3 linked regions of the Notamacropus eugenii genome follow. The protein of the gene in region 1 interacts with the protein of each later gene in a biochemical or structural test. Links are inferred from orthologs where the notes say so. Each region holds a gene or a part of one and is shown in the gene's direction. Other genes may lie near its edges. The genes, in order: PTX3, FCN2 and CFH.

Region 1 (7,706 bases):
TAGCATCTAGTGCAGTGACTGCCTAGTAGATACTTAACAAATGTTCAGTGCCTGATTAATTTAATTTCAAGATAGGTATGTTTAGGTGAAATATCCATGCATGCAGGGTAGCCTAGGCACATACCTAGGCATTCATGTAAATGTACCCATCCTTGAGAGTCCGTATGGTATAGTGAATAGTGTTCTGGACTTCGAGTCAGAAAATCCCGTGCTCAGTTCCCATCTCTGACACTTGCCAACCCTGTCATGTCACCCCCTCAAGACTCAGTTTCCTCATCCATAAAACAGGATGACGATATCTGCAGTACCTACCTCACAGCTTTGTTAGGAAGCTCAACTGAGATAATATATATATAACGTACTTTGCCAGTGTCAAAGTCCTATATGAAGGATCTGTTATTTTTTATTATTTATATTCATATAAAAATATGCCTTTACCGTGGGTCGTTTCCTCCTTGCCACTATCTGCAACAGCCTGAGAAGATGGTGTTGTTCTGTTGTCTCTAGGTCACACATCAGGGTCACCAACTCCATCACGTGGCTGTTAATTGGCTGGGGCTGCTTTTCATACACAGAAGGCAAGACACGCAGCAGCATGGAGTTGCCTGTTTAAAGGATAATAAAGTCAGTTCATTCACTTGGGCTCCACAACTCTCTCAGCTCATGAGAGGCATTAATCATGTTGGGGTTGAACTAACAAGCATCTAGGATACTTAGTCACATATCAAATCATAGGGACCAATCACCCATTCCTTTACTGAGCCAAGTAATAACAAAGAGTGACCCTGATTCCCACAGATCACTGGCACTGCTACTATCAGAGCTTATTCCATGAGTGGGGAATCTGATAATGAGAAACATTATTACCTAATGATGGTTTATACTAAGTGAAGTAATGTGGGGCAAGCAGAAGAGCCCCAACCTTGAGAAGAAATTAGTATAGACAGAGGATGAATGATAAGAGTCTTAGACAGCCTTTAACTGAAAACCAAGCTTTATCATAAATATGAGAGGAAATGAAAACAAAGAAAAGAAAATAATAGAATGTATTACGTTCTTCACAGAGAAAGACAATAGACATCTGGAAATAATGCTTTACTATTCGCAATAAAGGAGGAACAAAGATGGTTCCAACCTCCATTTTAAGGGCTGCTGAGATATGGCTTGTCACTCATGATTTTCCATAAAGCAAGCACCGGGAAGAAATTTTATATAAGGTTCAGGTATTCATACCAAGAACACATGGGAGAATCTGTTTATCACTGCAGAGATCAGCCCTTCTCTTCGAATACTGGCAAGTACTTACAAGCTTCAAAGCAACTGGTTTCCATAGATGCCTTGAACCGGGAGTATTATACTTATATTTCCTTTAAAATGGAGATTTATGTATAAGAGAAATATACACAAGAACCCAAAGAGTAGGGACTGCATGTAAATGTACATGCATTTGTGTGTTTGGGCACACATATTTATGCAGAATATTTTAAGAACTGAGCAAAGAAAACATTGGTAAAACACAGAAAGCTCTAAAACTCTGAATGATAAAAGTTTGACTTTAGAGGAAACCAAAAATCCTTGATGACGCCTTTCAGGGGCAGCAACGTATGAGGTAGGACTTGAAAGCAAGGAGACATTCCACAAAATGGAAATTAGTGTCACTACTTTTTACTTATACCACCCAGAGCCATGGGATGTCAGAGCTTGAAGAGACTTTAGATATAACTAGAACCAGCCCCCCCCCCATTTTACAGAAAAGGAAACTGAGCCCCAGAGAGGTTGAGCAACTTGTCTAAAGTCACACAGACATTTGAAGCAGAGTCAGGATTTGGACCAAAATCTTATTCCAAAAGCCACAGATCTTTTTCACTGCCTCTCAGTGGCAGAGGGCTAATACAGGTCTTTGGACCTGGCACCATTAAATTTCATTGTTTTGGGTATTCACTAGGCACAGGGAACTGAAGAACTTTATACTTAAGAATTTTGAAGTCACTTGGGAGACAAGGGAATATCATTATTATTGTCTTTGCAGAACGAATTTCACTTCAGCAGATCAACAACAATGAACATTAAGAAGTACTACGTTCAAGGCACTGGGCTATGGCATGGGGTTAGTCCCTGGATCTCAAGAAGTATACATAGTGTATAGGGACAGAGAATGGGATGGTGGTGGTGGTAGTAATGGTGGAACAGAATAGGTACATAGATAAGACAAAGTAAGTTGGGAAGATGAGAAAGCATTAACAAGTGAGTGGAGTGGTCAGGAAAGTCTTCAGGGATGGCACTGAAGCTGATCTTACTGTGGGTTTTCTTGTGGGTGATCATGACTTGTTTTAACTCATTTAATAATTGGATCATTGTGCTATCCATGGAATTTGCCATCATGTTTCCCAACCATCCTGGACCATCCCTTGTGAATCTTTCTTGGAGTGATTCTCCCATACAAATGTTTCACTGTGGAAATTATTCCATGACTTCAAGCCTAGCCTCCTCATTTGCACAGGTCCCTCTTGAGGTTTCTGTCTTCAGTATTCAGGGTGTTTTGTCTCACTCTCAATGGGAGATCATCTTTAGTTTGTACCCTGGAAGCCCCGGGACATCACATTCTTGTAGTTCTCAAGCATTCCATCCCCACAGAAATCTTTATGAACAGAGTCCAAGCTCTCCCAGGTGAAGTTCAAAACCATATTCTCTAACATCAATGACTGTCTTCAGTAAGTAAAACTCTTTCTATTTGAACTAAGTCAAGTCAAATCAACTAACATACCTTAAGTACTACGGATACCGAGAAAGGTCGAAGACAGTCTCTGATATCAAGGAACTCACAGGCTAATGGGTGAGATAGAGAGCCAGATTCTCTGCCAGGTCATTCTCTTTATGTCTTACGTCTTCCCTGGGTAGACTGGCTAAGAATCATTCTAGCCTACTAGTAGTCACAGCTCTTGAATCTGTCCTTCTTTTGAATTTCTGGCCCCAGGTTCTGAAGGCAGAGCTCATGAAATTGAGCTTCATGAAGTCTAGTTTCTTACTCAAGCAGCCTGGAGTTCTAGGGAGATGCATCAAATTGTTCACCTGGAGCATGGATTTGGTAAGGTTTGAATAGATATGTGGCCATCACTATCTCCAGATAAAATCTGGTTTTCAACTCTGCATCCTTCCTTCCAACACACACACACTCACTTCCCTAGGAGTCTCCATTAGGCTCAAATTAGACACCTGCACACTACAGTAAGACAGAAGGGCCAGGAGGAATGCTAGAGCACACCATGGCTTGGTCAGCAGGAGAGATGATCCAGGAGGCTCAAATACGCAGCTTGATCCCAAAACCTTAGAGAAACTGTCAAGAGGTCTTGAATAGGTAAATGGCCCCCTGATGAGCACCAGGCAACAGTATATTCTGGTGATTAGTCACCAATCCAGAGAGAATTAACAGTTGGTGTAAATTCCATGATCTCTTCCAGAGATAAAGATCAAGAATATTAAAAGCTACAATAAAGGGTCCCTCTGGGTCAGTTAAGGGACACCCTAGTTGCCTGCTCAAAATGCCAATTTTAAGGGAGCTAAAATTTAAGGCATAAAGCTGGCATGTAATTCTAATAAGACTTTTACTTAATGTTACAAATTTAAAGTGTATATGGTGGGGGGGAGGAAACTTGTTCACTTTTCAACTGAAGATAGACCCCAAAATGAAACAATAAAAGTGTGATTCCGTTTGAGCTACACGCTCCTAAACACACCAGCACAGAAATCACAGATAGTCACAATCTAAATTCCCTCTTGAAATACGATCCTCTCTCCAAGCCCAGGAGGGTAAGCTGGCTTCCTTGGAGCTATGTATTCGCAGAGATTTACTACTGGGGGAAGAAAACAAGCGTCTCTAAGATTTGTATACTGCCCTCTTCCAGGGTATCCCTCCTCCTCACCCTCCCCATTCCCCCCTTACTGGGTTTATGAAACTCCCAAGGTTTTGTGTAAAACTTTACAATAGTGCTCAAATAAAGGCAGTGGGAAGAATGACCGAACTCTAACTGGAACGAAAAGATAGGTTCCTAATCCATTGGGCATTTTTAGCCACCGGATTGCATCTTCTTTTTTATACTGGAATTCATCTATGACTCCGGGCAACGAAGGCATGTAAAACCGAGGGTACAGGGAATGCAGAGTAAAAAGAACAAAAAAAAAAAAAAAAAAAAAGTCTGGGGACGAAAAGGATTGTGGAAAAAATATTCCCATAAGCCCCCCTCCCCTAAGGATCTTATCTCTCTTTCCTGCCTTTCCTCCCAGCTCTGATGCATTTTCTTCCTACCACACAAGCAGCTTTCTTGTACATCAGAATGTACAAATTCACATTGCAACATCTAATTCTCCAGGGACAAGTCTCGTAAGATCCGTTTTACCCCAGCTCTCAGCGTCCCCCTTTTTTTCCCTCCCTCAATTAACCTGACCACAGAGCAAACCTTGGGGGTTTAGTATTGCCTAACTTCCCCGCCTCCCCTAGCCCATCAGCCCCCTCCTTTTCCTCCTCTTCCTCCAATAACCAGAGGCATTCTCATTTCAGCCCCCAGCCCCCCCGGTGCCACCAGCATTGCTCATTCATTCACTTTCGGCAGCCCCGGACCTTTATTAAGAGGTTTCCTAGCCTCCTGCTCTCATTCTCTGCTCTGCTCCAGGCCAGCTCCCTCCCAGCAGACTTTTGCAGAAATCCGAAAAAGTACAATCGCTGTCTTCTCCCGGAGAAATGCAACATCTCCGAGTACTTCTGTTTTGTGCTTTCTGTTCTGCCTTGTCGGCTGAGGACAGCGATGACTATAATCTCATGTATGTGAATTTGGATAACGAAATAGAGAATGGAATACATCCCACTGACGACAGTAAGTGCCTGTTAACTGTTTCTCTGCTACCCTTAACTGTTCCAAGCCTGCTCTGTGTGCGTAGGGGATAGTCAGTATTGGAGCAAGGGTAAGCTATTTCAAGGTTTCCTTTGAAAAGAGGGAGTTCTTTAGAGCAGAGGGAACTTTTAAAAGTAATTTAATATATGTAGAAGAAAGGAAGGAAGGGAACTGAAGTGGTCTGAGAGGCAACCCGAAGCACTCAGGGCAAGGAGAGGTGGGCTTACGGTCAGGAAGATTGTTCGAATTGCGACATTTATCTGGGCAACTGTGGGCAAGCCATTTAATTTTCTTGGGTATCAGTTTCCGTGTGTAAAATGATGAGATTGTACCAGGTGGCCCCTAAAGAACCTGTCAAACCAAGTATGGTCCTATGGCCCTAAGAATAGGGCTCAAATTCTGCCCTCTGACACACACTAGTGGTCTGATCCTGGATAAGTACCATCTGCTTTACCCAGGTAACTAACAGGTAAGACAGAAACTTTGTGGAACCCCAATTGTGAAAGGGGTTTCCATATTGGGGGTTCCCATTCCTCATAGTATAAATCATAGGTCTGTCTAACAGCCTTCTCGCCCCCCTCCCCCACAAAAAAAAGTGGTTTGCTACATAAATAAGTAAGCAGTAACGGATAAAAAAGATTTCTTGACCACCAGGGTGATCCTACGTGGGCCGGTATGCACCCTCAGGCCTTATATGCACTACTTTTCTGAATGTCTCTAGAAAGGATGTGGAAGGTGGGACTTTTAGAGACACCTTACTAGACTTTACCCAGACCTCTCTGGAGGGCAAGGGCAGCGGACTTTGGGTCAAGCAGAGCCGACTAGGGAGGAGATAGGTGGTGTGGGCCCTTGCCCAACTCTGTGACCCTGTGGGCGTGCAGGTGGGTCCCTGACACCAGTTTCTTCTGCTTCTTACAGGCTTTTCGTGTGACTGTAGCCAGGAGCGCATGGCGTGGGACCGGCTCTTCGTCATGCTGGAGAACTCTCAGATGCGGGAGAACAGACTGCTGCAGGCAGCCGAGGATGTATTGACTGCTGAACTGCGTGAGCTGCGCTCAGATGTGTCCCGCATGTACGCCTCAGCCCAGGAACCTGTCTGGCTAGCCAGGACCTTGGAAGAGCTGTCACTGGCCAGCCGTGGCCTGACACACCGGCTTGCCAAGCTGGAGAGTGCCTGGCAGAGGGCGCCCGACACGAATAGTCTGCTGCCCGTGTTGGAGGAGCTGCGAGCCCTGCGCAGGTGGGCTGCACAGCGCTCACTGCCTGCAGGTAAGAGAGAGCCTTCTGCCCCGCCCCACCTCCCCTTGTCTGGCTGCCCACCACCCAATCGGCTGAGCTTCCCATTGGGGGTTGGGTAAGTCTCATAGGCAGAGAGACTCTAGGATCCAAACAGCCTTTAATTTTCTCATGGTCTTTGAGCCCAGCCTGTTTTTCTTGAAGAAATCCTTCTTTAGTGCCTTTGATGGAATCTCCAGAGCATAGATTTAAGGCTGGAAGAGACCTCGAGCGTCACCTACTGCATCCAACCCCTTTATCTTATGGATGAGAGAACTCAGGTTCATCCATCGTCCTAGGGGTTGTGAGGGTCAAATGAGATAATGAATCTACATGTACTATCACTGAGTTATTCTCCATCATAAGATCATAGATCTAAATAGAGTCTACTAACAGGGAATTTAGGGATCATTGAGTTGCCCCTTTTAGGGATATGGGATTTACAGATACTGGCACCCAGAGAATCTACATGACTTGTCCAAGGGGATAGAGATATTAAATGGCAGGTATGAGATTTGAACTCAGGTCATCCAACTCCAAATCCAGCCTTGTATCCGTATCAAATAGTTCTGAAACGAGTTTGTTCTCCAGAATTGAAACACTCACACACACACACACACACACACCACACACACCACACACACAACTCAAATGGTAGCAGATTTCACCTTAAAATACACATAAACTATTCCACCCTGGAATTAGGCCATCAGTTTAAACTCTATTGGCTCATTTTAAAAAAAGTCTTCTCAGCTTCCCTTCCCTCCCTGGCAAATTGGCCTGTGCCTGAGGACAGGGTCTTTGTTGTTGTTGTTTCAGTCATGTCTGACTCTTCATGGCCCAATTTGGGGTTTTCTTGGCAAAGATACAGGAGTGGTTTGTCATTTCCTTCTCTAGCTCATTTTACAGATGAGGAAACTGAGGCAAACAAGGTTAAATGACTTTTCCAGAGCCACACAGCTAGTAAGTATCTGAAGTCAAATTTGAACTCAGGTCTTCCTGACTCCAAGTCCAGTGCTCTATCCACTCACTGCACCATCTAGTTTATTTTCATTTTAAATTTAGTTTCTATTCTCCAGAGAGAGAGATAGATTGAGGTAAAGTATATCTTTAGGTCTGTGGACTTTTTTCCAGCTTGGCTGCTTGTCTTTAAGGACAGTTCTGATTGATAATAGTAACCTAGCAAATCTTATGCCTTAAAGTATAAACTGATCTTCTGAGGGACCAGAGGAATCCTCTTCCACTGCCTCTCTAATGCCATAGTCAAATGACCTTGATGGAGTGGGGAGCTCTCTGAGGATCAGGGAGAGATACCTTTGTAAGATGGGTTTTGGGGCAACTACCAGGGACAGACTGCTAGTTGAAAATATCTCTTTAGGGAAAGGTACATTTGTGTTTCAGTCTTTTTTTTTTTACTTTTGTTTTCTGAAAGTATTAGAGAGACCATCTAAGTAAGAGAATATCAAATTGGACAAAACCTGTCATAAACTTATTTAGCGCTCCAGAAAACTGAGTGTAGTCACAGACTTTGAGAGCTCACCAAAT
Region 2 (7,189 bases), on another chromosome or scaffold:
TTTGTTTTGAGTGAGGGAGGGCTGTGCAGGTCATCAGCCTCATTTCTCCTCCAGAGCCATCTGAATCCAGTGACCAGATATTCCTCAGGATGACTGGAGATGACCCAGGATGAGGCAATTGGGGTTAAGTGACTTGCTCAAGGTCACACAGCTAGTGAGTGTCAAGTGTCTGAGGTGAGATTTGAACTCAGGTACTCCTGACTCCTGCACTGATGCTCTATCCACTGCACCACCTAGCTGCCCCCAGGTCATAGATTATGCAGAAGGGAAACAAAATAGAAGACTGGAAAGGGAGAAAGAGTACAGGTTACAAAGGAGTTTAAAAGCCAAGTAAAGGATTTATTATTCGATTCTGGAGGCAATTGAAAGCCACTGGAACTTACTGAATATGGGAAGTAGGAAGGGATGGGGTCATGTTTAGACTTCTTCATTGGGAAGATCATTTTAGTAATTGAGCAGGGGATGGAGTAAGGAGAGACTTGGGTCCAGAAGACCAAGCAGGACACTATTGCAATAGTTCAAGGGTGAGGCAATGAGGTCCCACACATATAAGGGATTATTATTTTAATTAAGGAGCTCACAATCTGGTTGAGGCAACAAAAAGTATTCATGCAGATGTAACAGACAGTGCACAGCAGTATGTGATAAGTACTCCTGAATAACACAGACAATAAATGCTATTGGTGCATCAGAAAGACAGAATGTCCTATCCAGCAAAGACAGCATGGGGTCACCTGCACCAAGCTCCTGTTCAATTCAAGCCATTGAAGATGGGGCAATTTGGATGTCTGGCCTTTACTTAAAGCTAGATGTGCAATGTAAGCTCTTTTTAATGGAAACGTCCTTGCAAATGGGGTCTGAATGTCTGCTCTTTCTTGAAGGGAATGAGAACTGAAGAATACAGTGAATGGAAAAAGTATTAGATTTGGGAATGGGGGAGGAGAGTGGGGACCTGTGCTTGGTCTCTGTCTAGCTTCAGTCACCTGGGGTAGTGATTGAAGGTGGCCTTGTGCTATTGTTAGGGGTGGGGAACCTGCAGCCTCAAGGCCATATGTAGCCCTCTAGGTCCTCAAGTGTGGCCCTTTTACTGGATCCAAACTTCACAGAACAAATCCTTTTATTAAGGGGACAGATAGCAGTGACCTTGCAGTGCTTATGGAGGATAAGTGCGGATAATGAAACAGTTGGAAAAATTCTGAAGAAATCATTCCTACGTTGGAAGCTGCCATCACCCACTGCCACCAGTCAACTTCTAGTCAAATCTGATGCTGTGGAATGAATGCTTAAATTTCCAGCACTATAAAGAAGTGACTTTGACTATAAATTTAAACTGTTGATTCATCACAGACTGGCAGGAGAAATTGTTGTGGTCAAAAATGCTAAAATCAAAGAACTTCAAGAGAACATTCAGACAACTATCAAGCATTTCCAGGAAGATGAATGCTGTCCTCATTCCACTGAGAGTGTTGTTCTTATTGGTGGAAAGCGTAGTGGGGTTGTGGAATGCATAAAAGTCCTACCAGATCTTTATATCTGAATCTCCAATCAAAGGATATGCACAGCCCTATGTCCCAATTTCTATGATGAAATCTGTGACTCTGATGGTTTCACAATGATGTTTAATGATCCAAAATTGGTAGGGATGATTTTCTTCAGAATGCTCAATATTTAAGCAACCGAGGATGAAGCAGCATGCAGATGTTGAAACATTCTAATGCAACTTGTTTTCTTTTTTTATAATGGGAAGTAGTATTCTGCAAAGTTTTTCAGACTAGTGGAGACATGAAAGAGTCTTGCATCTTTTAGAGTTTTTTATCTGCTTCTGTTCAAAAAGTCGACATTCCTTGGTTTCATAGGTGTTCTGCATTTGAGGTAGAGTGAAATCTTTGCTATTTACTAGATGTAATTTTTTAGTTTCTTAAAAACAAAGTAGTGAGGGGGAAGATGTGTAAAACTTACATCGAAATTTTGGAACGTCTGTTGAGAGAGTGAATCTTATGTTTGTTCATTGCTGATGGTAAAAAAAAAAAATCCCCCTTCCTGTTACTGTTGTGAACACCTTGCTTTGTGGTCACTGTAATTTTGGGAGAGGACAGAGGGGAACAGGGAATAAAGAATACCAATTGTCCATGGTTCCTGGCATCCATTTAGAGCACTATATAGAATGTAAGGCTCTTTTATAAGAAACATTCTATGATTTTAAAAAAAATAGATTGTTGTTGTTTTTAGTCATGTCTGACTCTCTGTGACCCCATTTGGAGTTTTCTTGGCAAAGATATTGGGGTAGTTGCTATTTTCTTCTGCAGCTCATTTTACAGAAGAAAAAACTGAGGGTTAAGTGATTTGTCCAGGGTCACACAGCTAGTGTGTTCATCTTCCATTGGAAGAAGACCATGCCATCAGAGAAATAATGACATGACTTGCACTTGACTTTGTTTTGAGTGAGGGAGGGCTGTGCAGGTCACCAGCCTCACTTCTCCTCCAGAGCCATCTGAATCCAGTGACCAGATATTCCTCAGGATGACTGGAGATGACCCAGGATGAGGCAGTTGGGGTTAAGTGACTTGCCCAAGGTCACACAGCTAGTGAGTATCAAGTGTCTGAGATGAGATTTGAACTCAGGTCCTCCTGACTCCTGCACTGGTACTCTATCCACTGCACCACCTGCTTGCCCCCACGCAGCTACTATGTGTCTGAAGACAGATATAAACTCAGAAGGAGGAGTTTTCCTAGGTTTAGACCTGGTTTTCTATCCACTATATCACCTAACTACCCCCAAATAAAGTAATTGAACCTAAAAAAATGACTATTTGATTTGAAATCAGAGACCTCTTGATGGAATCTTAATTGACTATAAGTTACCTGAGTTGACCTAGGCAAGTCTTCACCTTTCTCACTGATTCTCAGTTTCCTCATTTGTCAGATGGGGAGTGGGAGTGGGGTAGATGAAGGATTTCTGAAGTCACTTCTAGTTCTTCTATACTGCATTCCTAGGGGAATAATATTGTGGCCTTGCAAAACCTGGGTTCAGGTTCATCCTCTGACACAAACCAGCTATACAACCTCATGCAAATCATGTAATCTCTTTGAGCTCCAGGGAAACCTCTGAATATATAAATTATTGGTGAGTGGATAATCTACACTGAAGATGTTTCCACACTGGTAACTGCATTTACTATGTGCCAAGCATATATGAGCAGCTAGGTGGTCCAATGGATAAAGTACCAGGCCTAAAGTCAGGAAGATACATCTTCCTGAGTTCAAATCTGATCTCAGACACTTACTAGCTGTGTAACCCTGGGTAAATCACTTAATGCCATTTGCCTCAGTTTTCTCAGCTGTATAAATGAGCTGGAGAAGGAAATGTAAAAAAAACCCCAAGGACCTCAAAATGAGGTCAGGAAGAGTTCAACAAGAGTGAAAGACAACCGAGCAACAAATATGCCAAGCACGGTGCTAAGCATTGAGTATACAAATTCAAAAGTAAAGATAATCCCTATTCTGAAGAAGCTTACATTCTAAGAAGGGGAGATAATATATACTTCAGAGAGTAGATGGGAACAGGGCATTAAATCTTCAGACAGAGATTCACACATTCTTCTAGGAGTTGATTTAATCATGGTTCCAAACTTGGTTAGGTGAATGGGGGTGGAGGTCAAGATTGGGAAGGGAAGTCTTTGCCATGGGCACCAAGGCAGTTAATGAGGCTGTAGAGAAGATGACCAGGGAGTCACCAATCAGTGCCCAGTACTGTAATTCAGATAGAAGGAATAAAAGCTTCTCAATGAGCATGATCTCTGGAGTAGGCACCGAAGTGGTTGTTGAAGCTGTGGAAGAAATGGTCAGAGAAAGTGAATGAAGCATGCCTGGGGCTGTCCTGCAGTAGGGATCATTCATCAGGAAATCACAGGTCTGGACAGAAAAGAAAAGAAAAAAAGAAAAAAGGAGTTCCTAGGAAGCAGCAAATTCCCAAGGACCTAATTAGAGCAGAACGTTCTTTTCCAATATCTGATACTTTGCCAAAGCAAACAGTTCACCCCAAGAGGGAAGAGAAACAAGACAGAAAGGCTTATGACGGCTGGTTCTCCAATGCCTTTATAAGATTGGGCAGCCTTTGGCAGCCAATGACAAAGGCACCAAGAAGTGACTAGAGCCTTGAGGCTGAAGAGCCCATTTCAGGCTATGGACAGAGTTGCCTGGCTCTTGGCGTGTATATGCCTCATGACCTCCACTGCTCAGAAGCCTGATCAGTGCCCAGGTGAGTGTGATTCCCAGAGATGGCGCTAAGCTCTAGAACTGACATTTCTTCCTGGATCTAGTCCTGAGGAACATGGAGACCCATTCTTCTCAAAAATATCTTGCTCTTTCTTATTTCTCTTCTATAACCTTGTGTTCTCTGAGAAAGAGGATCTCTTCTCTCCACTAACCTCTTACCCCTTCCCTCTCTTCCCAGAACTTCTATATGCATCTAGATGGTTTAGTGCTTAGAAAGACTAGTCAGGAATACCTGAGTTCAAATACTGCCCTAGATACTTACTAGCTGTGTGACACTGGGCAGATCACTTAACCTTTTTCTCACTCAATTTCCTCATATATAAAATGGCGTTAACAATAATAATAATATTTACTTCCCAGGGCTGTTGAGAAGATCAAATTAGATATAACATAACTTAATTAATATAATGTAATGTAATATAATACATAGAAAATACAATACTCAATGGTGTATGTGTGTGTATGTCTTTCACATTCTGCAGATGTAAAGATTGTGGGTCTTGGGGAGTCTGACAAACTTGCCATACTCCAAGGCTGTCCAGGACTTCCTGGACCCCCTGGTCCCAAAGGAGAAGCTGGCTCTGATGGAAAAAGAGGTATGTGTCCATACCCTGTAGGTCCAGAGGTTTTGGTTGATATGAGTTGGAAATGGTCACAGAACACTGACTCTTTCGCCACACAGGACAAAGCTGGGAAAGCTGAGGTTCATAGGCCATAAGCTGTGGCTCTTCACATGTTATTTAGAGTAAATAGGTATCTTTCAAAAGTCCTTTCAGAAAATAATTATGTTTTGGAGGGTCTATGCTTAGTTCACAAGTTCATACTTCAGCATATATAGCCAGAAGATCTGGGTTCTAGTCTTGGCTCTACTGCTGACCTCCTATGGGACTTTTAGCAAATCCCTTCACTTAATTTCTTTCAACTTCACTTTTCTTGTCAAGTGGTGACAATGCCTGCCCTGCCTCCCCCAAATAGCCATTGTCCCATTTTGTACACTGAGCTTTATCAGAACTGTCCAATTGGATGTGGTATCTCTCACTCATCTGAACTCAGAATTCTCACCACTCCTACTATTTTAACTGTAATAATTACCATTATCTTATCTCTCTTATGCATGGAAAGATCCAGGAGTGGAGGGGTCACCTTAATCATCTTTGCATCTCTCATACCACTATGCTCAGATCTGGATGAGTATTAAATCCTATTTGTTGCTAGATTACAAGTGCAAACAATTCACCGCCATCATGCCCAATATACTCATTACCATTAGTAAATCTAACATGTTGACATATCAAGAATCCGTAGTTTTTGTCACTCATCTGTAGTTTTGAGTGGAGGGGATGCTATGCCTTTTTATTAAGTTAGTTTCAGTTTCCAAAATACTTTCCCTCTTCTCCATCCCCATCCAAAAAACAAAACTGATTACAACTCTTAACTTGCTTAAGGTTCTGAGACTTAAGTGACTGGACTTGAAGGCAGGTCTTCCTGACTCTAGGATCATTCACTATATTATACAGCTTCCCTAACAATCATAATCACCAACATAATTAATATACAATCTATGGTTCTTAGACCACACTCTGTGGCTCTTGGAATGCTGTTTAGAGCAAATAATTGTGTTCTAAGGATGAAAAAAATGTCATTAGTCTTAAGAACTAATGTTTGACAAGAGGTAACCATAGCGCAGAGGAAGGAATGCTGGTTTTGGAATCTGAGGGTCTGAGGTCAAATCCCCTTATGACCTGGATGACTCTGAATGAGTGATTTAAGTCCTCCAGGATGACCAAAGACCAGTTACAAAATGCAGTTCTTTTGGTGTGGGAATCAAGTGAACCTGCTAGAGTCCATCTGATGAACACTGATTCCATCTTGTGCTGCTACATGTATTATCCTTCATCTTGTTGCTTTGTTGCAAATCATCCATGGGAAACTAGGTGGCATGAGGTATCTATTGTTTCATAAATGTAGGTGGTTGCAATTAATCAGCATCTCTAAATTCTGGGAAAAGAAAGATTTCAAAACCTACTTGACTTCCTACCAACTCTGCCAAAATGTACTCTTCCCCCCTCCCAACTTGGAAAGCCTTCAACCTTTCCTCCAGCTAGAAATCAGATTACCTAATTTTGTACCCTGGCTTTTGTCTTGTCAGTTGTTTTCTGTTTAATTAGTTGGTCTTATTTGATTAATTGTTTTGAATACATAAAAATCTGTCTCACTCTGTATGCAGGGTCTTTGTACAGACTAGGGAGTCTGCTGACCATTTATTATGCCTGTTTTGCTAATAAGTCACATAACCTGGATTGCACTTTCTCAGTTATTTTAATTTATCTGTCACAGGACCTCATTTCCTTTACTTGTAAAAGGAGAGGAATAGGGTTGCAGAGGTCCCTTTTCACCTCTACAATCATAATCTAGGGAGTATGTGAGAGTGGCTGGGGGTTGGGTGGGAAGGGGAGTTGGTGAATTTCAAGTTAAATGTTATAATTTATTATCACCATTCCTATCTCACTGGTATCTACAGGGGAGAGAGGCCCTCCTGGGACTCCTGGGAAGGCAGGACCAATGGGTCCCAAAGGTAAGTAATTAAAAGGAAATCAAAGAACCCCATGGATAAAACCTGAATGCCCGCTGCAGCAAGAGCAGCTCCCTAAGGTTCCATTCACTGGGCTGCTCATTCCTAGAAAGTCAATTTCTGCTGTCAGTCAGGACACTTCCCCTAAATTCCATTTCCTAGACTCAAAGCAGTGTTGACAGCAGGAGCCACACTTATACCACCCACCTCACATTTGTGTGTGTGTGTGTGTGTTTGTGTGTGTGTGTGTGTGTGTGTGAATCTTAAAGAAGTATTGATACCTGAGTTATTAGTACATATGTAGGCAGAACCTGAGGGTGGATGTGTATGTATCTTGACTTC
Region 3 (7,837 bases), on another chromosome or scaffold:
GACATTTAATAGTTGCGTGACCCTGGGCTAGTCACTCAACTTCTTTTTGGCCCAGTTTCCTCATATGTAAAATAGGATAATAATAGAACCTATCTCCCAGGGATTGTGAGTATCAAATGAGTTAATAATTGCAAAGTGCTTGGTACATAGTAAGTGCTACATAAATATTGGCTATTATTATTATTTGCCTTTTTTATGTATATATCCCATCTCCCTACCTGGATTACAAATCCTTCAAAGGGTCCTTTTCTTATACACATTTGTATCTCCAGAATATAATAGGCAAAAAAAAAAATTGCTGCTGCTAATTTTACTCAACATTCGGTTTCCTATTCTCTATCCATTTTTCACACATATTCAGTGCTTTAAAAATTGAGTTTCAGTGAACTAAGCTTGGTCCTGATGCTTCCAGATTTTATAGCTAATATTGCCAAATTAACGTACATAATGCATAGATGTTTCTGCTAAAAGAAATCCAAAAGACAAAGGTAGTGATTAGAACAGGTTCTTGTCATGTACTTGTGTGTTTTTCAATCATAGATGTTTCGTATGGTCTTCTGTTAACATATGAATGGCAAATTTGTCATGGTTTTCAATTCAACATGTTCAAGAAATACATATGAAACATCTATTAATTGCAGGCACTGTTCTAGGCCCTGGAGATGCAAAGACAAAAATCAGTAACTTGCTGACCTCAAGGAAATTATGAATCATCTGTTTTAACAATATTCCTTCATTTATTAGTGCACCATTTGGTAACACAGAATAGATATAACTTTCACCTTTCAGTTTCCCAGGAAGAGGTGTGGGTTTGAGGAGAGGAATTAGCAGTGTCACTATATCACATCTACCATCCCGTAGTCCTCCATAGCTGGGAAAAATACTGCCAACCCCTCCTCTTGGTGTGTGCTCCCCCTCAGCTTGAGAGTTTCTTAAAATTCCCATTGAAGCAAAAACTATGCCAGGAAGAAATACAATTCCATGCTCCTTAGTATTTGGGAACTACTTCCAAGGCATCCAGTCTCAGCTTTTCCAGAAGAACTGTTGTAGAGTCTATCCCTTCATTTTACAGATGAGAAAACTGAGGCTTAGAATGGTTAAAACGACTTGCCCAGGGTCATATAACTAGTTTTCAAGGGGGCATTTGAACTCAGGTCTTCTTGACTTCTAGTACAATATTACATCACTTTGCCTCCCCTTGGCCTACTTTAGACTATTCTGTGCTACTTCAGCAATGCCTTGATTAGAAGCCTGAAGTGCCTGATAACTTGAAAAAGAACATGCATGTGTACATATATGTACATGCACATGCACATGCATATGTATATGTATATGCAATATGTATATGGATGTATTGGTTGGTTGTTGTCCTTCATTCTCAAAAAGGACCAAAATGACTTCATGCTAGAGTCAAGTTTCAGTGTGTCTGACTATTGCTGGTCAGACCAATATGAATTTGGAATGCTCTACCACAACTCAGGCACAAATAATCCATATGAACATTTGGGTGGATTCTCTAAATTTGCACGTCCTACATTTCCTTTGAGCTGTTTCAATTTTGCTTCGCTTGTAGAGAACAGCACCTTTTCTGTTGTGGGCCCACCATGACGAACATCTAGATCTAGACAACAAAAGTCTGTCTTGACTATAGCTTCCATCTTTCTTGTCCTCCCTTAATACTTGCTTTGTCAATTATCTTAAATAAGCCTAGGCAATGTAGAGACTTTGGAGAGTGTGCGTATTCTGTATGGTGATACCAATTAAAAAAATTTTCCTAATATTTTTTGGAGCGGGGTTAGTTATCAATATGTGCAACAGCTTTGAGATGATGCTCTGACACCATTACCATTACTACCACCACTACACCTACCATCGCCATCATCATCCTTATCAGTGCTATCTCATTCTTCCCATCTTTTTGGGCAGGATTCAGGACAAGCTTCAAACCCGCTGTTATTCTCCTACTATTTATTTACTATTAATAGACAATATTTGTAAACCAATATTGAGCTAATAAGCATAGGGCTAGGCTCAAAGCACTGGAAACATTAGGGTAAGCCTGAAAAAATGAGAAGGACATCATTATCATCACCATCACCAGTAACAACATGCCCTACTGAGTAGTTGCTATGTCTTGGTTTTTTGTTCTCCAGGCTAGAGTAATGCACTGTTGTTAGTTAGTGCCATTAAATTCTAGGTTTTCTTAAGAAAGAGAAATTTAAAGTTAACTTTTCGTTTAATATGGGGAGTTATCTTTTGTCTAATTCCATTCTCTTTTTATTCAAATATAACTTCCTAGTTTTCAAAAGCAAGAAGTAAAAAAAAAAATAAACAAATAAGTAAACCCATAGCTGAAGCTTTATTGGACCCAAAGTATAACACTATTACTTTATAAACCCAAATAGGAAAACTAATTTTTACTTGCATAAAAGGCAATATTTGAAATATTTTTACCTGTATCTTTTTGTCTTTATGCCCATGAGATCATAGGACAGACCCAAACTACTCCAACAATAATCTAAGAAGAAAGCTAGGAATAGTCATCATGAAATTGAAGGAATAATTATAATGGGTCATCTTTCCATTGGAAGATGGAAATTTCAACTTACAAGGAAGTGAATAGGACAGAAATTCTTGAACTCTGGTGTTAGCTGTTATCATAGCTCTCAGTTCCCAAAGATCCAACGTGGGCCAGTAACACTGGGAGTACCAGAGACAACCCCCAGGGTTCCTAGCCAGTCCAGCAAAACAAGGTCATAAAAGGCACAGTGAACCTCAGACCCAGAGTTCTAGGCAAGCAGCATACCAAGAGTGGATCATAGACTCAACCCTGAGCTTACTAAAACTTCCAGATACCTGAAAGGGTTTAAGACTAACTACTCTTTCTAGGAGCACCACTTAGAAGCAAGTCTGCCACTGTGGGGCCTAGACTCAAATTGGAACTTGGAGCCTGACAATCTATGAGGACACAAATTAGGATGTCCTCTTGATCAGACCTCATTGGGTCTGTTGAAAATTTGCAGCTTTATACTTCAAACTGTCCTTGTGATTCTTAAAGACTCTAACACTCAGTACATGAAGAACATAATGACAGACTAGGTTAGGAAATTAGACCACAAAACAAGACTGGAAGAACAAGTTTTTTGTTTGGTTGGTTTTTGTTTGTTTTTGGTTTTTTTTTTAATTTCCAGTTGGACAGAGGTGGGAGCTGCAAAAAGAATGGTAGAGAGCAATGATCACTGGCAACAAAAATTATGTTCAATAAAGGACAAAACCCAAAGAACAATTTATACTATAATATCACATTATAAAAATAAGCTTAAAAAAAAAAGACATGAACACTGACAAACATAGTGATCAATCATGATTCCAGAGGACTTATAACTTACCTCCTGTCTGAGAGGTGATAAACTAATATACAGAATGAGACATACTTTTGGAAATGGCTAATATGGAAATTTGTTATGTTTGACTATGCTTGCTTTCACAGGAATTTTGTTTTTCTTTTCTTTTTTTTTTTCCGTGAGCTGAGGAGATGGAAGGCAGAAAAAAATGCTTGAAAAATTCTAAAAATTTTCAAATTGAATCAAAAGATAAGATAAATGAATGTTTCACAGAAACATGATGATAGAAAAAGTAGCAAATGATTGCATTGTAGTAAAGTATCAAACACATTAGCTCTAATTTTAGCATTGCCTCACATCCCAGATCCCCTCCAAGATATACAAATATATGAAATGCATCAAGAGAATATTAAAGTTAAAAACTAGGACTTAAAAAATTATAAGTGAGGACCCTGTGATCTTCCTCTTATTTATCCAAATTCAAATTATGACCACTGTTTGTAATGAACAAGATCTCAGCTTAGTAAATTTTCTATTCTCAATGTGTCTTTGCATAGTAAACGCTTTATAAATGTTTGTTGAATGAATGAATGATAAACTCAGCCTATAAAAGTGTTCTGGTATTGGCTTTAGATATAATTGCAAAACTAAGTTGGCAGTTTCAGACGGGTAAGTGGAAAGTTGGAATGAATATACTATGTTAAAATAGGAGTCATTGGAGAGCATTATTTAAAAATTTCAAGTGATGGCTGAGATTTCAAATGTGACTTACTTTCTTGTGAGATATCTTTTGTTTTCTGGTGTGTTTTTTTTTTCCTTCAAGTAATAGAGCCAATCCAGTACCTTCATTTAACTTAAAAAAAATACAGTACATTGGCTTGGGCAATAAAACACAGATAAAATTACACTGCATGGAGAAAAAGAAAAAAGAATCTGTTTTGTCAGATTTTTGTAGTCCAGAATCTTTAGCAGCCCTGATTTTTCTGTTTTTTGTGATTTAGGTTATTACACTAATTTGCTAGGACTGAGTGGGAATCAGTTGCTTTACAAACAAATATAGTGTTACTGGGGTGGAGAATAAAATTAATGGATTGCTAAAGAAGGAGGTAACGGGATAGGTCAGAATGGCATTCTTTCCAAAGTTTACATAAGTTATCTGAGTTGATTGTGAAAGTATTGGTCAATCTGAAGGGCTGTAAATGAAAGATTTAAAAAAAACCTATTCACTTCCCCTCTCTTCCTCTTACTGCCCCCTCCCCTTTTGAATATGTTTAATAAAGCAGTCATTTAATTTCAGTAAATGGGAGGTGGGGTACATATAGAAAGCATTATTTAATTTGTTGCAGAGCCTGGGAACTTGAAAATAATCCATCTGAGAACATGCCTGTATTTTTAATGACAAATCAGAGTGGAGGTCACAACTTTAACAGTGAGTGGGAGGACATGAAGAATTCTGTTCATACCCTGGCAAGGAACAAAAGACTTGTTGAGTTCTGTGATTTGATATTTGTTGGGTGTTTATTTTGGGGTTTTTTTTCCCCTAGCTTAGCTTCAGTTTCTAGTAGGTGGGACATTTAGTTAGTGGACTTTATTCAGGCAGCATATTTTCAACTTCTGTTTTAAACAAGATTTCACTCGGAGCAGTCAGAGGAGAGCATTACATGGTACCTGCAATATCTAGGTCCTAAATGTGTCTTGCTTCCACGTACAAAAAATGAGATTTCCAGTAAAGATTGTTTTACTTCTGTTATGGACTATCTGTGCTGCACAAGGTAAGGGGACAGGATTTTGGTTCTCTTTAAGGAAACTAAAAAACATTTGTTAGTATATTTTACAGAGACAAACTGAGAGAGGAAGAGATCAAATTACAGATTATAATTATATTCTTGTTCTACTTCTATAGTTCATGCACCTATGGATATTTTAAAGTGTTAATGATTTCAATAGCACATTTAGATGTTTCTTTTCACTTTTTATTTTCAGATAAATACTATAAAAATATTTTTTAAAGTAATCATTTCTGAACTACTAAGTTTCTTAAAGAGTACCCGTTCTTGATTCATTAAAATATTCCTTAAAAAACTTATTTTCTGAGCTATTGTTTTACTCTTCCAGGAATTTTTCCATGAAATGTCAGAGACAAAATTCATGCTATTATTACTGGATTGATAACTAGCCTAGATTGTATCTATGCCTAGAGATCAATGTATTTATTATTTGTTTCCAGTGCCTTGGTGTTTTGTTTTGTTCTTTGAAAATAATTCTAATATACCATAAGTGGAACTTCCTTACAACACATCTGTAAAAATAGTATAAATTTAAGTTAACAAAAAATTCAGTCTGTGAACTGATAACTTCATTCCATAGTTAGGATTCTTTCAAGAAATTATTTTTAATAGGAACTACAGGAAAATTCTCTACTAAATGCAATATTCTGATAAGAAAATAGAATGAGATAGATCTTTCTTAGTATAGTGAGAAAATTGATGAATGAACTTCTGTTATCACACATAGTTTAAATGAGCTCTAGTGTTTTACAGCCAATTGGTGAGTTTACTTTTGGGTATTTTACTTAGATGGTGCATGTAAGATAAGTGATAACTAGGATTCATATTTGATGTATCTATTTCATGAAACTGCATCAAGCATCTTTTATTTGAGGAAGAAGTCATGATGTAGTATGAAGAGTTCTGAATTTGAAGTCACTAGAGATTTGGGTTCAAATCCTAGCTTTGACTAAATGTATGACAAATGAACAATTCACATGATCACTCTGGGCTTCATACCTTTAGTACCTACCTCATATGGTTTTTGATGATCTAATAAGATACTGTATGGAAAATGTCTTACATACCTTAAAGCACTATACAGATGTCAACAATTATTATCTTTTGATTACTAGAAATATGCTATCCATATAATATCTTTAGATGTATATATTTAAAGTTCGCAGATCCCAGGTTAAAAATTCTTTATTTAACGGTTGAACTGAAAGGATTCAACAAATCAACATGTTTGTGTGTAGGGGCAGTGGAAGTATTGGGACAAATTCTTGGCATAGGAAATAGAGGAAAAAAATAAATTAAGGCAGGGAAGCATTAGCCATGTTAAGGATAGGATGGGGGCGGGGGATGAGGTGTGGGGTGGAGGAAGTGGTAACGTGATTTAGGCTGGAAGACAGAGGATGTGGAAGGTAATAGGAATAAAGTTTAAACATGTAATGTGGTACCCAATTTTGGAGAATCTTGAATGTAAGGTTTAAAAAATTTGAACATTATTATTTACGTCTTTATTTTAAAATGTATTTTATGTTTATGTATTTATTTCTAAGGTAGGTGGTAATGAGGGCCTATACTCATAGGCAGTAGGGAGAGGGAGTACAGAAGTAAGGCAGAATAAATACTACATGTCAGCTGATTAGCTAAGAGCCATGAGGGAGAGGGCCTAGAATAGTGAAAGGTAGCAGTAAGCTCTCAAAAATGGGAGAGCGGCTGACTAACAACAACAACAAAACCGAAACTAAACCTTATAACTACAATGACCCAGCTTGGCTCTAGAGAAAAGTTGCAAGTACTTACCTCCCTCCTTTCTTGACCAAGGACAAAGACACAAAGTGTGATACATTACACACACACACACACACACACACACACACGCATGCATGCATGTATACACACATGCACACTCATGTACGTATGTATGTATATATGCACACATGCATGTGTATGTATAAAAACATATTCTGTCAGTTATAGTTGACTTGTTAATTTTGGTAAACTCTATTTTTTATCTTTCTTTTAAAAATCTTTGTCACATGGGATGATCTGCAGGTGGGGGAGACATGAGGATATGTATATTTGGAAATAAAAGAGTTATAAAAATAAAAGTTATCCTGCCCTATTGTGCTTTTATGTATTTGCACAGATGGTCCTCATACCTGAAATATATTATATTCTTTCAAGGCCTGGATCTTGGGCCAGCAATTCCTCTACCTTGAAGCCTCCCCTGGTCTCTTAAATTTCCCTTAAAGCCCTTTATCATGAGAAAATATCAGATTTTACATTTTGCTTTATTTATTGATTTACCTGTCTTATTTTTATTAGTAGAATATAATCTCCTTGTAGAATAGTAGAATAATGACTATATCACATTATCTGTATTTCTAGCATTTAACATACTGTCTTGTACAGAGCAGAACTTTGAGATACATACACATACATATGTATATTTGTATATGTATATATACATATGTGTATATATACATATGCACATATATGTTAGTCCAAACTTTTCTGAATTTATCTGATAGGGCTATATCATGCATCCCCTGTTTCTCCATTTTTTTTTACAAAATATCATGTGAGAATTTGACAACAACTTTGAAGAATGAATATATGTTACAGTATATCCATAGAACCTGAAATACTTACATTACTCAGGACTGAGAACAATCACATATGTGAAAATGTAAATGGTAGAGACAATTGATCTCT

The links.
Region 2: the proteins of PTX3 (region 1) and FCN2 interact in a biophysical measurement, tested with the Homo sapiens proteins (2 studies listed by IntAct, with this or other methods). The link is inferred for Notamacropus eugenii from reciprocal best matches to the Homo sapiens genes PTX3 and FCN2.
Region 3: the proteins of PTX3 (region 1) and CFH form a complex in vitro, tested with the Homo sapiens proteins (3 studies listed by IntAct, with this or other methods). The link is inferred for Notamacropus eugenii from reciprocal best matches to the Homo sapiens genes PTX3 and CFH.

Annotation. Positions count from the first base shown.
Region 1 is NC_092877.1:367,858,872-367,866,577, reverse strand, and holds the start of PTX3 (pentraxin-related protein PTX3), read left to right. Parts: upstream 1-4,601; 5' UTR 4,602-4,735; coding exon 4,736-4,868; intron 4,869-5,804; coding exon 5,805-6,155; intron 6,156-7,706. Other genes in the region: VEPH1 (ventricular zone-expressed PH domain-containing protein homolog 1), read right to left, coding at 439-605.
Region 2 is NC_092872.1:488,118,270-488,125,458, forward strand, and holds the start of FCN2 (ficolin-2), read left to right. Parts: upstream 1-4,100; 5' UTR 4,101-4,182; coding exon 4,183-4,258; intron 4,259-4,757; coding exon 4,758-4,871; intron 4,872-6,796; coding exon 6,797-6,850; intron 6,851-7,189.
Region 3 is NC_092873.1:444,689,074-444,696,910, reverse strand, and holds the start of CFH (complement factor H), read left to right. Parts: upstream 1-4,799; 5' UTR 4,800-5,058; coding exon 5,059-5,116; intron 5,117-7,837. UniProt on the Homo sapiens protein: Glycoprotein that plays an essential role in maintaining a well-balanced immune response by modulating complement activation.